Linked DNA regions of Oryzias latipes. The protein of the gene in region 2 interacts with the protein of the main gene of each other region in a pairwise test. Links are inferred from orthologs where the notes say so. Each region holds a gene or a part of one and is shown on either strand. Other genes may lie near its edges.

Region 1 (4,858 bases), on a different chromosome or scaffold from region 2:
CTTTGTGATCTTTTTTGAGAAATATGTTATAACAGGAGAACCCAAATAAATGCCATTTAAAAAATGAATAATGGAACATGACAAAACACTGTTTGTGTAAGTTCACTGTATATTTGTGATATCAATGTTTATTTCAGTAAATTTCTCAATTATAGTGTATTTTTAGGACTCTTTTTTTATGAAACCTTCTTTAAATCACATTGTGTGTGAATGGATTTGCCTTTTTGCTTTTTATGCTGTTTATCTGCTTCATTTAGCATTCTCACTTCCTAATCCCATCAGTCCCAAAACATCTCAGCAAAACAACTCATCAGTAGAAACCTTTTATCACAACTCAGATGACCACAATGTTTATTTTGATATTTTTAGTACATTTTATGATGGACTCGAAGTCCAAATGTCAGCACTGAAAAATAGAGGAAAAAATACGGTTGGACTGTGATGTAGTGGGTAGCACTCATGCCTTGCAGTGAAAAGGTCTTGGTTCAAATCTCAGCTGGGACTTTTCTGTTTACATGTTCTCCCCAGTTCATAAACATGCTTCATAGGATAATTGGAGTCTCTAAATTGTCTCTTGGTACAGTCCTGCCGTCTTATCACTCAATGCAAAAACATACTAGAGATCACAACGTTAATTAAAAAGCAAAATACGGATATATAAAAATCGATATTACATTTTTGGAAAACAAAATGGAATGTTAAAAAACGAAACACGATGAGAAATTGAAAAAGGTGACTGGATGATAATATCCAGTATCGCTTCATGTCAAATAACTTTCAGCTGAAATGATGGACAAACGTCATCGTCCATCAGCGATGTCCCAAAACCTTTTCCAGTGTCTCATCATCGTTTCTTTTTACTAACATTTCATTTTGATTTCTGGAAATTACTTTTGCATTCAAAAATGTGTTTTTCTTTTTTGTTTTTCATGGAAACCCCCAACCTATGGTGCTCGGCATTTTTGTTACACGGTAATGTTAGGTTGAGGGTGTGAGGGGCTGGAAGCTAGTGGGTTTTCAGATTTTGTGTGAAAACTGCCTCAATTAAAAGACACTCGGAACGCTTTAAGATAGATACAAACTTTAATTTAGTATTGGAAAGTTAATCAAATCAATTTTAAAAAATTCAACAAAAATTGGGGACATCTTTGGATTTGTGTATATAAAATTTAGTAGAAAAAAATAATAATTTAACAATATTTTCCTTTTTTTACCATCAAAACTAAAACAGATAATTACATGTGTGTAAGGTTTATGACGCTATTAATTTTTAATATAATTTTTAATCAATGTTCGGTTTTAGTTGCAATGGGTTTATGATTTTTTTTTATTTAAATGTCTTTAATTAAAGTAATGGGCAATGGACTTAGTAGAGGGGCCTCCCGTACGTAAAGCAGAAAGGGGGGTGCGTCCTTACGTCACACGCAACAAGTGGTAAAAAGTTGTTGGACCCCCCGCCCCCTCCCACCCCTCCTCCTCCCCTGTATGTTTTTGTTGAGGGAAAAGTTGTTGGGAGTTTTGCTCGTGTGAATGCAGCGCCTCCGCCGCTTTTCGGCCCTCGGTACTAGCAGAGGGGAATGCCCGCCGTTTCGTTCCTTCAAGTCGGAGAAAGAGCCGAGGAGCAGAACCTTCCAGATCTTTATGTGAAAACGTAACCTTTTCGGGCTCCAACGTCTCGTTAGCTTCCTTGCTAGCTCCCAAAGTTGACGCTACCTCGCCTCACACTCACCGCTGTGTGTCCCGTCGGAAGTTAGCGGGTTTGTGGGGAAGGAAAAAAAATTAACAAAAACCCGCAGAGATGGCGGAAACCAAGATAATTTATCACATCGACGAGGAGGAGACGCCGTACTTGGTGAAGATACCGATAGCTGCCGAAAACATCACTTTGTTGGATTTTAAACAAGTGTTGAACAAGCCAAACTACAAGTTCTTCTTCAAGTCTATGGACCAAGACTTTGGGTGAGCTGCTGAGATTTCTTCTTCCTGCGCTGAACATGAAAGGATTGATTACGCTAAAAGTAAAGGAACTAAAATTTAAGCGACCAAACGTTCATTCAGAGGCTCATATAATTCAAATTGTGTGGCAAAAATAATATACACATTTATTTTTTCCTACTAGTTTTCAGTGCGTCAGTAGCTGAAAAAAACGCTCCAAAATAGCAGGAAAAACCGTTTTAAATGACATTAAATGTGTATTTTTTTGTCTATTTAGTTTGTTCCTTACAAAACTGTTGGAATAAACGACTCACTGAGTTGTTTTTTCTCCTCTAACGAGAAACCACGCAGTGATGAAGATCATAGCGGTTCTTTAAATACTTTGGATTCTGTGGAATATTTTCAGAATAAAAGACTCCCATTACAATGAGAGGCATTCCTCGGCCCTGCAGCTTTTCTTAGCCCTAATAATCCTCCTCCTCTTCCTCTCCCCCCTCTCCTTCAAGTGAACTCCTCTTTTCTTTCTTGCGGGACTGCAGCCAGAGTTTTGTCCTTTCTCCTTCACACTTCAGCCCGCTTTCCATCCTTTCAATCCCCAACTCCTATTCTATGTAGCTTCTCCTTCAGGTAGAAGACAGGAAAACTGTCTTTCCTCTTCCATGTCATGGTCTGTAGTAGAGGAATGGACGATGGTTAGTTTAAGTCGGTTTCTATTATTATTATGTGTGTACTTGTCTTTTGGTTGGACCATCAGGATATTTATTCTCTCAACCAGAACCTTGATTTAAAAAAATATATAATTTGTTTTATATTGTATTGTGCCTTATAAACTCTAATTAAGATATTTTGAATTGAAATCAACATGGATTTATCACAGGTTAGGCAGTTCTTATTAAAGATGTTTCTGTAGTAGAGAAGTATGCATTCCTCTATAGCTTCTAGTAGCCAATTTCACTCCTGGGTTTTAGTCACAAGGACCTTTTGTTTTTTTTGGGACCATAAGACGCTCCTAAAATCAACAGTGCATTGTATGTATGAATTCTGGTTGTGTTAATTGATGTGGAACCGATTTTCTTTGGTAAATGGCGCTCAAAAATCTGTCCAAATACTTCAGAGAGACTTTGGTAAACTACAAAGCTGCACCTGGAGCATTAAAGCCTTGTTTCCACTCAGCGATCCGGTCCGGTTTAGAAAGCGATTCAGGTGAGCGTTTCCACTCAAAGTTGGACCGGCGCATGTGGGACGTTTGAGAGAAGATTGTGGTCGGCAGAGCAGAACACAGCCGCTTTCTTTTGTTGTAACGACCTTTAGCCAATCGACAGGTTTCAACAGTAGCTCCGCCCAAACCGATCTGTTCCATTTTTCTATGGACCTACAACCAACAGGGGCCCAAAAATGGTACGGTTAATGGGTCCATTTTACCTAGTGAAGTGATACGTATTGTGTTTCAACATAATGGATTGAAAAAGTGTTCTGTATTTTGTGTTACAACTGAACAACGTTGAGAGTTACTGTCAATAAAGTTTGACTTATCTGCAGAGTCTGATTATTGCAGGTAGGAGAGAAGAACTCAGTTCACTAGAAAAAGGTTCCATCAACCCCCTCTTGACCAATTCTATGCATTAGGCCAACTTTGTGCATTCTGGCTATTGTAGTTATATCACATGAAATGACTGTTGTATTGCTCAATCTGCCTTATGGTCCAACAAATCTTTTTGGTTTTAGACCCTCCAGAAAATAACCCATCATGGAGAGGGGCTCTTGATTCCACCTTCTAAAATCAGACAAACATATTGAATATCCTTTTTGGTTTAACACGTTATTTTTGATCCAAGTGGCTCGTTTATATATGCTCACTTTTCAGTAGAATTATTGTTTCCAAATTCTCATAAATGATGCTGCACTTGTTGTAGCTCTCATTTTTTATTGGCTCAGAATTGGGGCTGAACGATATGAAGAAAACTTGCGATATGCGATATGAGTGATCAATATTGCGATAACGATATCATTTGCGGTAAATAAACAAATAGCAAAACAACCAAAAGCATCATTCCCATTTCACTGCAACAGTTTAAAATGTATAGTCCAAATGAACCTCGGCGAGGTAGGATGCAAACATCTAACATAAAAGGGTCCATCCGATTGGTCAAATGCATAAAGGGATTTATTTGATTCATTAAATGCTTCAAGCTGCCATAAGATTGTTTTAGCATATTTAAGGTAACCATTTATTGCGATTTGTGATGACTTTTGCGATATGCATATTGCACAGCTTGATATCGCGATAACGATAAATTTGCGGTATATTGTGTGCAGGCCTACTCAGAATGCAGTGTGACGTTGTTCAAATTAAACCTTTATTAAACCAGAATGGTCAAGTATTGACAAACGTAGGTTAAAGAATAAAGAATCAATCAAACCCAGAGCTAAAGTTTTTTTAACCCTTTTATCTTGGATGTTGGCAATGACACGTTTGTGCAAACACTCTTTACACTGAAAAATGTCAACGCTTTCTAAAAGATGAGACGCTACAGACAATACAATGTTGTAATGGGCAAAAAACTCAGAAGTTCACAAATAGCCCCTATGTTTCCAAGGAAGACAGTTATTCCTGGTTAATTTTATTCTTTTTCTGACCAAAACTGTTACAGTCAATGTTACAATAAACAAACTGAGGCTGTCTACATGCCTGCAAATGCAGAATAACTGAATTAGCAGATATATACAAATTAATCCATGGAAATATGGTCATTTGTAGATCCTCATCTACATGGTTATCTTGGAAGAAGCTTTCAAAGTTTCGGTGACTCAAGGCCCATTATTGACCCTTGTGCTACCCTAGGCACTTTAACATTGGGAGTTGGGTCATCTAGACCCACTAGACAGTGCCCTGAACCTTTTTTCTTCAATGATTTGTGATCTT
Region 2 (4,684 bases):
GAGCCCTCCTCTCTCGTGTTCCAAACAGGAAGTATCTGCTGGATCCAAGAAGTCAAAATCCAGTGGACTTCCATTGAGTGGTAAAGAGCTTGATCTTGCTGATCCAAGTAATGTTGAAATTTGTTCCAAACCATCAAAAACTGCATTTTTGTGTCCTTTTTATTAATAAACAAGGATTTGAACAGTTTCTTTTCTGAAAAAAAGAAAGTAATTGTCTTTAGCAAGTATGTGGAGGTTGGTGGGGATTTAAAAACACAGCTACTATCTCAGTTAAAGCATTATATGTTTGCTATTTTTTACTTTGGTTTGAATTTTCTTTCTCTCTAAGGTGAAGGGCTGAGCAACAAATGTAGCTATGGCTAAAACTGGCAAAAATGTTTCAATAAGAAACCTGATCAATCAGCAGAGATTCAATCAATGAGTTTTTACCCAACTTCTGCAAGATGCAGAAGTTGGGTAAAACGCAATGTTGGTATGACGCAATGTTGGTATGACGTCAGTTCAGTGTTTTTCCAATAATGAATGATTACTGATTTATAAATTTTCTTTGCAGCTTATTGAGAAACATTCACTCAGGCCCAGACACAATGTTCAGGCATCAACACTAAAGCATCTTAGTAATGCTTTCAGAGATATCTTAGCAGATGCAAGGTCCAGACAGAGGAAGCAGGAAGTCTTCCCCTTGAAAGCAGAGAAAATCCAAAACATTATTATTATTATTATTATTATTATTTTATATCGTAATGCTTAGGAAACATGCCACAGAGACTGATTGTTGCTCCTTGGATGGAGCAAAAAAGCAACCATCAGCCCTGTTCATCATTGTTCCTGATAGGAGTCATGACAGCAAAAAAAAAAATTCCTAAAATAAATCTAAATCATCTATGGAGACTTTTTGTGTACATTTTGTCTTTTTAAGTCAGGTTAAATTTCAGTAGCACAGGGTAAAAACCTGTTGAAGGAAAAAAGACGCAAAACTGAAGGTAAGTGTCTCCTTGAGCAAATCCCTTCACATGATTCTCTTGATTTCATGAATCTGAAAGTCACCTTGCTAAATCATTAAGTGTTAACATTCTTCTTAAAATACAGTTAGTTGGTTCACCTGTGTGTTTGCGGCTGTGCATCTGCAAGTGAGACAGCTTGAAGTAGCGCTTGTTGCATCCTGGGTAGCCGCACATGAACGGTCGCTTCTCACTGCTTTCTGACCGAACTATTGCAGGAGCAATGCTGGGCACCCGTCGCACATCCTACACACACACGCACACACATTAAAATCAGTAAAGATGGAATAAACAAAGGCCTCCTAGAGACATCAATAACTGGAACCGTAACCTGTAATTCAGACTGCGGGCCGTAAAGTCTGCCCCGTGTGTTAATAAGGCATGTCATTTGTCTGATTGTGGGTTAACTTTAATAAAACAGTCCAATATTCATGAGATTGGAATTAGCTGTCAGATGACCCCAGACTGAATGCAGCCCAAAGGGAGCTGTTAGTCATGCCTTCTAGGCAGAGCGCCATCCCAGAGCCCCCACAGCTCCCTGCAGTCTTGGTCTGAGGACAAAGACAGGAAATGACCCCCATATTTGCATTTTAGCTAACATGTAAAGTCAAAGTTAATTTAACAATGTTATTCTCATATCTGGCAGGTTTTCCTCCCTTATCTCTACTTTCTTTCAAATGTTGCACCTTTCTCCTTCTTCCCCCATGTTGCCTGTATCTCATCTGTTTCCAGCCATCTGCTCCTAATTTCCTCACTGATTAGCATAATGATCACACAGTGTTCAGAGGTCAGCTTTGTTGCAGTTGGCACTCCTGAAGTTGCACTTGATGCAAACTGGAGAGCCACTGACCACAAATTCACAGAATAAAACCTTTAAATTTCAAATTTAAAGTGATCTAAATTTATGATAAGTTTTAAGTTCTAAAGCAGTTTAAATGTGAGATTAGGATTTTATTAAATGAAAATTGTTCATTTTTATCATTCAAAATATACTGACTGAATATATTTATGTTCTTTTGGTTTCTTTTAGAGAAAACTGAAGAAAAATCAAACCAGCGTTAAAATAAAGATAATCAAGGATATTTCATTTATTAACCCCAAATAAGGTCAGGGAAGACATGATAAATAAAACTGTGTTTAAGTTTAACACCATAAAAGAGAGCATAGATATTTTAAAATACCTCTCCTTAACTTTTATTATTTTATTATTTAAACTTAATTATCAATCCATCCATCCATCTTCCTCCGCTTATCCGGGACCGGGTCGCGGGGCAGCAGTCTAAGCAGAGATGCCCAGACCTCCCTCGCCCCAACTTAATTATTTTTTTTCAATGTATTCATTTGCTTGTTTTATTTTATTTTATTTGATGTACAGCACTTAGTGTACTAAATAAAGATTGATTTGATTCGATTCGATAACCTATCAAAGGAGAAGCTAAAGACTTCTGTGGAAATATATTTTAGATATTAAAATTTAAACCTATAGAAATTGAGCTCCATCTAGATTTATTGACAAAAATTAGAGCTGTAAGGAAAGGAAATAAACAAGAAAAACATATTAATCAGTTATTAAATTATCTAAATATTGTTATTGTTTGTCAATTTTTATGTTTATATATTCTCCTAAACTATTCAAACTTGTTTTATTTGTTCATGGTTTGTTTTCTAATTTCAAATATGTATTTTTCTTCATTTCAATTGCAGTCCTCTTTTATTTTGAAAGTCTTCCTGTTGTTGGACCTGCACCTACTTTAGTCTGTCTGAATCCTGTTTTTTTGCTGTGGAATATTTACATCTGATGGAAACAACCAATACTGTTACAAATAAGCTCTTTTTCAAGCTGCAGTTTTTCATCTGCTCCCGATTCACAATTTGAATAAAAAAATACTCAGAAATGCTATTTTAAGTTTTTTTTTTTTACTTATGTCCTCCAACATGAGAAAAGTACCATACAAATATGTTAAAAACTACAAAAACACAATTTCTATCAGAGCGGACCTTTGACTCAACAAATTGCCTTATATTTTAGCAGCTCTTAAATTATACTTTAAAAGGTCTAAGCGCTGGTTTTTATTCTTTTGTTCAGAGCCAGAGTTTGTAAAAAAGGAAAGGAACATGGTGACAAATGAAGCAGAGTCCTGACAGAAATGCCTCCGCAGCAGGTCTGGAGAATCTCCTGCTCCTTGTCCTTTAGAGCCGCTGACAGACAATAATTGAGATCTAATGATTTATTAACATGAAGATCCTCCTATGGAAGCTGTATCATGACAGCGTAGCCCCAAGTGAGTTTGCAAATGGAGCCGTGAAAAGCATGCCTTCTGTCTTTGTGTGCAGCACGTACGTGAAGGTTTTTGTGTGCACGTCGGTACTCTGGTACATCTCAGCATTTTGCTGATAAAGCCTGATTATTGCATTACTCACCATCACATGCTTTTCAGGCATGTGTGTGAGTCAGTGAAGAAGGTGTACAGTAAATGCGTTTGGGATCTATTTCACCCGACGGCGACCTCTCGAACTCGATTGTGCGTGTGTGCGGCAGCGGCAGCAACAGTCCCACCTGAATGCCTCGGAAGACTCCGTGAGTGTGTATGCGGTACTGGGTGCTGCAGCTGTACACCATCGGGGTGCTGGGGTCACTGTCATAGCCAGCTGCATGACTGCAAGACAGAAAGAAAGATGATGCGATAAAATTAACACTTTATAAAATAGGAATGTCTGGATTTTTAAATCATATTAGCCTCTAAGTGCAATAAAAACACACACAAAAATGCTTGGTTTTGAGAAAACTGCACATCGATTCCACAAATTAGAAGAACATTTTACAAAGATCGAGTATGAGCTGCTGTTAGTAAGATGGGGCCAGCAGGGCAACATTATTCAGACATGTTCACCTTGTCAGTTACAGCCCATAATGCAAATCACAGACCAGACATGACTTCTGCTGCACGTTGATAATTCTTCCTCCCTTTTTTTTGTCCGAGCTCAGTAAATTTCTTCTTTTTTTTAAGAAAACAGCTCACCTGGAAGATGAGGAGAAGATATATGCTAAGATGTATGTTCCATCATCCCAAAAGCCACAGAACATGAGGTTGGATTTTACACTTTATCGCCAAAGTGCTACTAATACATTTAACAATAAAATAAAGGTAAATATAATGTGAATTAAAAAAATGTATATGATTTACTGTAAGATCTAAATATAAAGAAAATGGTAATTTTAAATTCACTGATGGAAAAAAAAAGAATAAATTGTGAATTAAAATTCATAAAATACCATCAGAGGACCACAGAGCAAAACGTTCTTTGAGGCCTAAAAACATAAAGTGTGAATGCTCTCTCTGTGTCAGATCAACAAATAACAGTCTAGATTTCTCAGATGATGACCCTCAGTTGTCTGTAGCTCTATGACACAATGTCTGTGGTCCAGTAGACCCACTGCTGCTCCAGTCCTGGATGATTCTTTTGGTTCCATGATGATGAATTTCAAGATATGGAATAATTTAGCTCAGCCTTATGCTTTAGAACTTCATGTAACTGAGATAAGCTGGTCTGACTGTGATCTGAAAAGTCTAGGTTCCTGAAAGGAGTAAGAGAAGATGCTTCATCTCCTGCAAGCTGGACTCTTGCAAAGGTCTCGTCTTCTCTTCAGTAAAAAAAGCTCATTCAGCCCAATCTTTCAACCT
Region 3 (4,783 bases), on a different chromosome or scaffold from region 2:
CTCTGCACAGATGTGGGGCTCCAGGGCGCCGTAATCATAGGTCAGGTCAGGAAGTGTGTGTTTCTGCCTTGATGATCCGACTTTCCAAGAAACAGTTTGGTGCAGGATTGATGCACAACTGAGAAGGGGGAGAAAAGGCAAAAAACTCAACATCGTTGTGGCAAATAACCTTTTTTTAGCTTGTGATTTTAGCTCAACAAGCCAGTGACATTTACCAACCAATTAAAGTAAGAAATAGAAAACATGAACGAATTTGTACATGCAATAATACTTAAACGCTTACACTATACTAAGAGTTGTTTTCGTTGTACGTCACAAGTTTTTAACTAAGCAGCTAAACCAGATTAGCATTGAAGTTAGCTAACAGTTAGCACAACAAAGCAAACAGTTTTCCACGCTGCTGATACAAGTATTTTCTTTTAGTTTTTGAACTTTACATAAAAATATAACGTAGACACATCTTACCTGCGCATTTGCCAGACTTTGCAAAGCATGTTTGCTTAAAGGTTAGAGAGCCAAGAAAAGTGAAAACAAGGCGGTATTACTGCCCTTGAAATGGGCAATTTCAACTTGACAGCGGAGTCGACCGTACCATTATCAGAATATGGGGATGTTATCGAAAATGGCTTAAATTCATATAAGCTTGAAAGGCAATATATACTATTTTTATATATATTTATAAGATAATAATTATATTTTCGGCAATTCAATTGCAACCAACGTCATCTTTTAAATTTTGAGATTTATTTCTCGGTCTTACCACTTTTCCTTAGCCCTGTCTTTTGGTAGATACCGAAGATTTATTGTAACATGGGGCCACATGTGTGCGAAAAAAATTTTTTTAAGCCCTTTTCGTTTATTGTACTCAAAATTTAATCATATTAAACTATACAATATTTGTAAGGTTGAAAATTTGTAACAACTTTGCGTCACGATTAAAAAATAACTATGTAACCATTGGAATCACGTGGTCTTTGCGTCACTGTGTTGAAATGGATACCAAAGATCGTCTATATCTACAACGAACCACTCTACATAATTTAAATGCGATCTGTTGTGATTGTAAATTTTGTGATCAAAGTAAATCCAGTTTTTTGGTTTGCAATGCAAAAAAGATGAAAAGACGCGTAAGGTTATGTCACATCAGCAAGGAAATAAATTAATTTCCCTTTCTTAGTCATTACAACATTTGAGAATAGTATTGGGTCAACAGCTTTGGATCGTTTTCTTTAGATAAACTAATAATGTAATACATCGCAAACCCAGAAACATTCAAGGAAAAACACAGAACTAAATGCAGTTTTAAATCTTAAAACATTTGATCACAACCATTTTGATTGTCCGGAATTTTAGGATCGGAAAATGTGAGCGTAGTGAGCAGACTTTTCTCTCCTGTCCACTGCTGGTATTACTCCGCAGAAACTCAAGTGCAGTGCAGCACCTCATCCTCCAGAGCCGTCCTGTTCTTCTCTCGGTAAAGGGGATGATTCTGAACACTTAAAGACGAGGCCACAACTTTTAATCAACCACCACTCTTTACGCATTTAAAAACAGTTACAGAGAATCTGTAAACCTCGAAGGTTTTTCGAAACATTGAAGCGAACGGGCCCGGTGAGTGTTATGATCGCGTAGGCCGCGTGACTGCAGCTAAGAGCCCGCTAGTTTCAGGAAAAGAAGCGCAGGGGTGGGAGTCATTTCCTTCACCGCCATTTTGTTATAACAAGAAGCCGAACATAGCTAAGTAATTATACACTTGATGCTTAGATAAACGACACGTTGAAAGATAACATCGCAGGTCTCTAAAATGTGTTTACGTCGCCGAAATGCTAAACGATTATTAGCAGTGAGGGGTTAACCTTGAGTACTTTTTAAAGGAAACCCTCCGCCGCTGACTGCAACAGTCGTTAGTAGTACTCGGCACGACATACCCTATTATCGGGTTATGTTCACTTTAGTTTCGCGGGTTTGTTGAATATAGCAATGGCAGTTCACTGTTGACACTTCAGTTTTGTCGGGAAGGCCCGTTTATAATAATTTTTGAGGGCGTCTGTGATCAAACGTGACGTCTAATATTTAACTGCGTGACGGCCAGCGCGAGGACAGGATGCCCAACAAAAAAAATAACACGTTTTCTGCTTATTTTCATTCCTAGAGAGCACAATGACCAACGAAGAACCTCTGCCCAAGAAGGTGAGTCTGATCCAGATTAAAACTACTCTTTAAGGGTGCTGTTGGTTGGTAATGGATGTCTAAGCAGCTTTTTGTTTATTCTATTTTTATTTTATTTTACAGGTTCGCCTCACTGAATCTGATTTGAAGACCTTGACCAGAGAGGAGCTGTGTACACGGTAAACAACAGCCCCTGTCCCCTCCTGTCTTCTGATGATGTTGAGCTGTTTACATGGATCTCATTCTCCTCAGGTGGAAGCAGCATGAATCATATGTCCAGGTCTTGGAGACTAAATATGCAGAGCTGTGTTGTAAGTTCACTTAAAAAATAGATCTAGCCCGTTGCATCGCAGAGTGTCGGCTGATGAGTTTGTTTCTCTTCCCTCCCATCATCCACCCCCCTCAGCCAACGACGTCCCGGGCCTGAAGGAGTCTGAGGAAAAGCTAAAGCAGCAGCAGCAGGAGTCGGCTCGGAGGGAAAACATCCTGGTCATGCGACTTGCCACCAAGGAGCAGGAGATGCAGGAGTGCACAGTAAGTCTCTCGCTCAGGTTTTTAATATGCAACACTAAAAAGATGAGTTGTTCTAAAGTTGCAGCACCTGGAAGAAATATTTAATGCTTTCTGTATCGTTACAGTATAATTTCTAAACATTTTTCTGCCTTTATTAGATAGAAAGTTTGAAGATAAAATGTTAAAAGCATAAGAATCACTAAAAAAACTTGACAAACCTGAAAGCATCTGTCTTTAGGGGATAAAAACACCAAAATATTAGATTCTTTTTAATTAATATTTCTTTTCAAATTGCCTACAAGGTGGGGGTTGTTTTTTATTTTGGAGTCTATCAATTTACCAAGACACATGTTAAGGATTTATAAATTGCATGAAAGGGAATGTGTGTTAATGAGAACACATCTTGGTTTGTAATCATTCTAGATGAGAACAAGTTGTGGTGGTTTGCAAGCTTTTACATCCAAATATTTAAAGTATTTTCTTTCTTATCACTTTTTAGATGTGGATACTGAATCGCCTGTTTGCTATTTTAAAACGACACTAGAGTGAAAGCAGCTTTTACTTAAAGCCTCGGATGAAAATTGTGTTTTTGACATGTTCTTGTGGGGTTTTTCTAATGGAAGAGGACATATTTAAAGACAGTTAGGCTTAAAGTTGCATTTCTAAGTATTTCTTTATTCAAATCATGAATCAGGAGTGGTTGGTAAAATTCTGCTACATAGGAAAATAGACTGATCTCTGATCTGCTGCATTCTGATCCATCCACTTGTAGGCAGATCCACGTGCGTCTTTGTTTTCCTCGCCTGAGCTGGCATCAGGCTCAGAACTCGTCTGGAAGGCTCCAGTATTGCTCACGATTTTTGTTGCGCTGGTAATGTTAGGTTGAGTCTGTGAAGGGCTGTAAGCTAGCAGGAGAGAGCGATAACAAATGGGTGGAGAAGCAGAGGCAAATTTCTAACGAACAACTGCCTTTCTGCAGAAAATATGTCCTTTAAAATAAAGATATTTTTTACATAATTTTTTTCTACAATTACTTTGTTTTTATATTCTATTTCCTTTTAAGATTACAATGCTATTGTAACACACAAATTTCCCATGTGTGGGATCAATAAAGTGATTCTGATTCTAAAAACAACATAAGCGTAATTACAAGACCACTGGGAAAGTTTTTAAAATCACTCAAAAGAGGATCGAAGTGGGACTTAAAACTAAGCGTCTAGACGCAGATTAGCCTAGATTTTGATCTATTTGAAAGCAGTTTTGTTACATTTTTAAAGGGAAGATGTTTAGGTGTTAAAAGCAGCTTCATAATGTGTGTGACTGGACTCTAACACCTGCCTGTTGCCTCCTACAGACACAGATCCAGTACCTGAAGCAAGTCCAGCAGCCGAGTGCAGCCCAGCTGCGGTCGTCCATGGTGGATCCAGCCATCAACTTGTTTTTCCTCAAAATGAAGGCTGAACTGGAACAGACTAAAGACAAACTGGAGCAGGCCCAAAATGAACTGAGTGCCTGGAAATTTACACCTGATAGGTAAAGACAATCAAAATATCTCCCCCCACCTAAAAAAAAAACAAAACAAAAAAAAAGTCAAGACTTCCTCACGTCCCCCAACCTCACTCTCACTGCAGGCATGCAGGAGCAATGGTGGGGGGGGGGAGAGGCTGACAAAAGCTGTGCTCACCGCGAGGCTCAGACTTGACAGAAATCCAGACACTCCCAAACCAAACTGCTTTTGCACTCTCGCACCGTGCCAGCTACACATCACACAATTTAAAGAGAAAAGACAGTATGGTCAGGTGACACTTGTTTCGGCTCTCTCCTCTTATATCCCCCCGCCGTCCAAAGGGCCCGATGGAGTCCGGACTGCTCTGAAGAGGTGGTCTCTCATTTCTCCACATGGAACTGCCTTCCATGCCCCCTCAGACAGTTCACATATTAAGTAGGGGGTCATGGGAGAAGTTGTGTCCGGCAGGGAGCATCCCTAGCCTAAAGCGGCAATCGAACATTTAAAAGACATTTAAAAAGAAAAAAGACATTTAAACTGTGGATTGCTTCACATAAACAGTAGCTGTCCTGAGAATTTGAAAGACTTTTTGGA

Evidence for each region.
Region 1: the proteins of wt1 (region 2) and dvl2 interact in a two-hybrid assay, tested with the Homo sapiens proteins (2 studies listed by BioGRID and IntAct). The link is inferred for Oryzias latipes from reciprocal best matches to the Homo sapiens genes WT1 and DVL2.
Region 3: the proteins of wt1 (region 2) and wtap interact in binary tests that used the Homo sapiens proteins (3 or more experiments, as listed by UniProt). The link is inferred for Oryzias latipes from reciprocal best matches to the Homo sapiens genes WT1 and WTAP.

The regions. Positions count from the first base shown.
Region 1 is NC_019876.2:14,921,432-14,926,289, forward strand, and holds the start of dvl2 (segment polarity protein dishevelled homolog DVL-2), read left to right. Parts: upstream 1-1,466; 5' UTR 1,467-1,798; coding exon 1,799-1,959; intron 1,960-4,858.
Region 2 is NC_019864.2:23,909,948-23,914,631, reverse strand, and holds part of wt1 (Wilms' tumor suppressor 1), read right to left. Parts: intron 3,659-4,684; coding exon 3,559-3,658; intron 1,248-3,558; coding exon 1,103-1,247; intron 1-1,102. UniProt on the Homo sapiens protein: Transcription factor that plays an important role in cellular development and cell survival. Recognizes and binds to the DNA sequence 5'-GCG(T/G)GGGCG-3'. Regulates the expression of numerous target genes, including EPO.
Region 3 is NC_019882.2:7,324,859-7,329,641, reverse strand, and holds the start of wtap (pre-mRNA-splicing regulator WTAP), read left to right. Parts: upstream 1-1,391; 5' UTR 1,392-1,474; exon of another isoform or gene 1,475-1,611; intron 1,612-1,664; exon of another isoform or gene 1,665-1,741; intron 1,742-2,152; 5' UTR 2,153-2,160; coding exon 2,161-2,190; intron 2,191-2,292; coding exon 2,293-2,348; intron 2,349-2,421; coding exon 2,422-2,480; intron 2,481-2,575; coding exon 2,576-2,703; intron 2,704-4,036; coding exon 4,037-4,215; intron 4,216-4,783. Other genes in the region: sod2 (superoxide dismutase [Mn], mitochondrial), read right to left, coding at 1-118, 466-494. UniProt on the Homo sapiens protein: Associated component of the WMM complex, a complex that mediates N6-methyladenosine (m6A) methylation of RNAs, a modification that plays a role in the efficiency of mRNA splicing and RNA processing.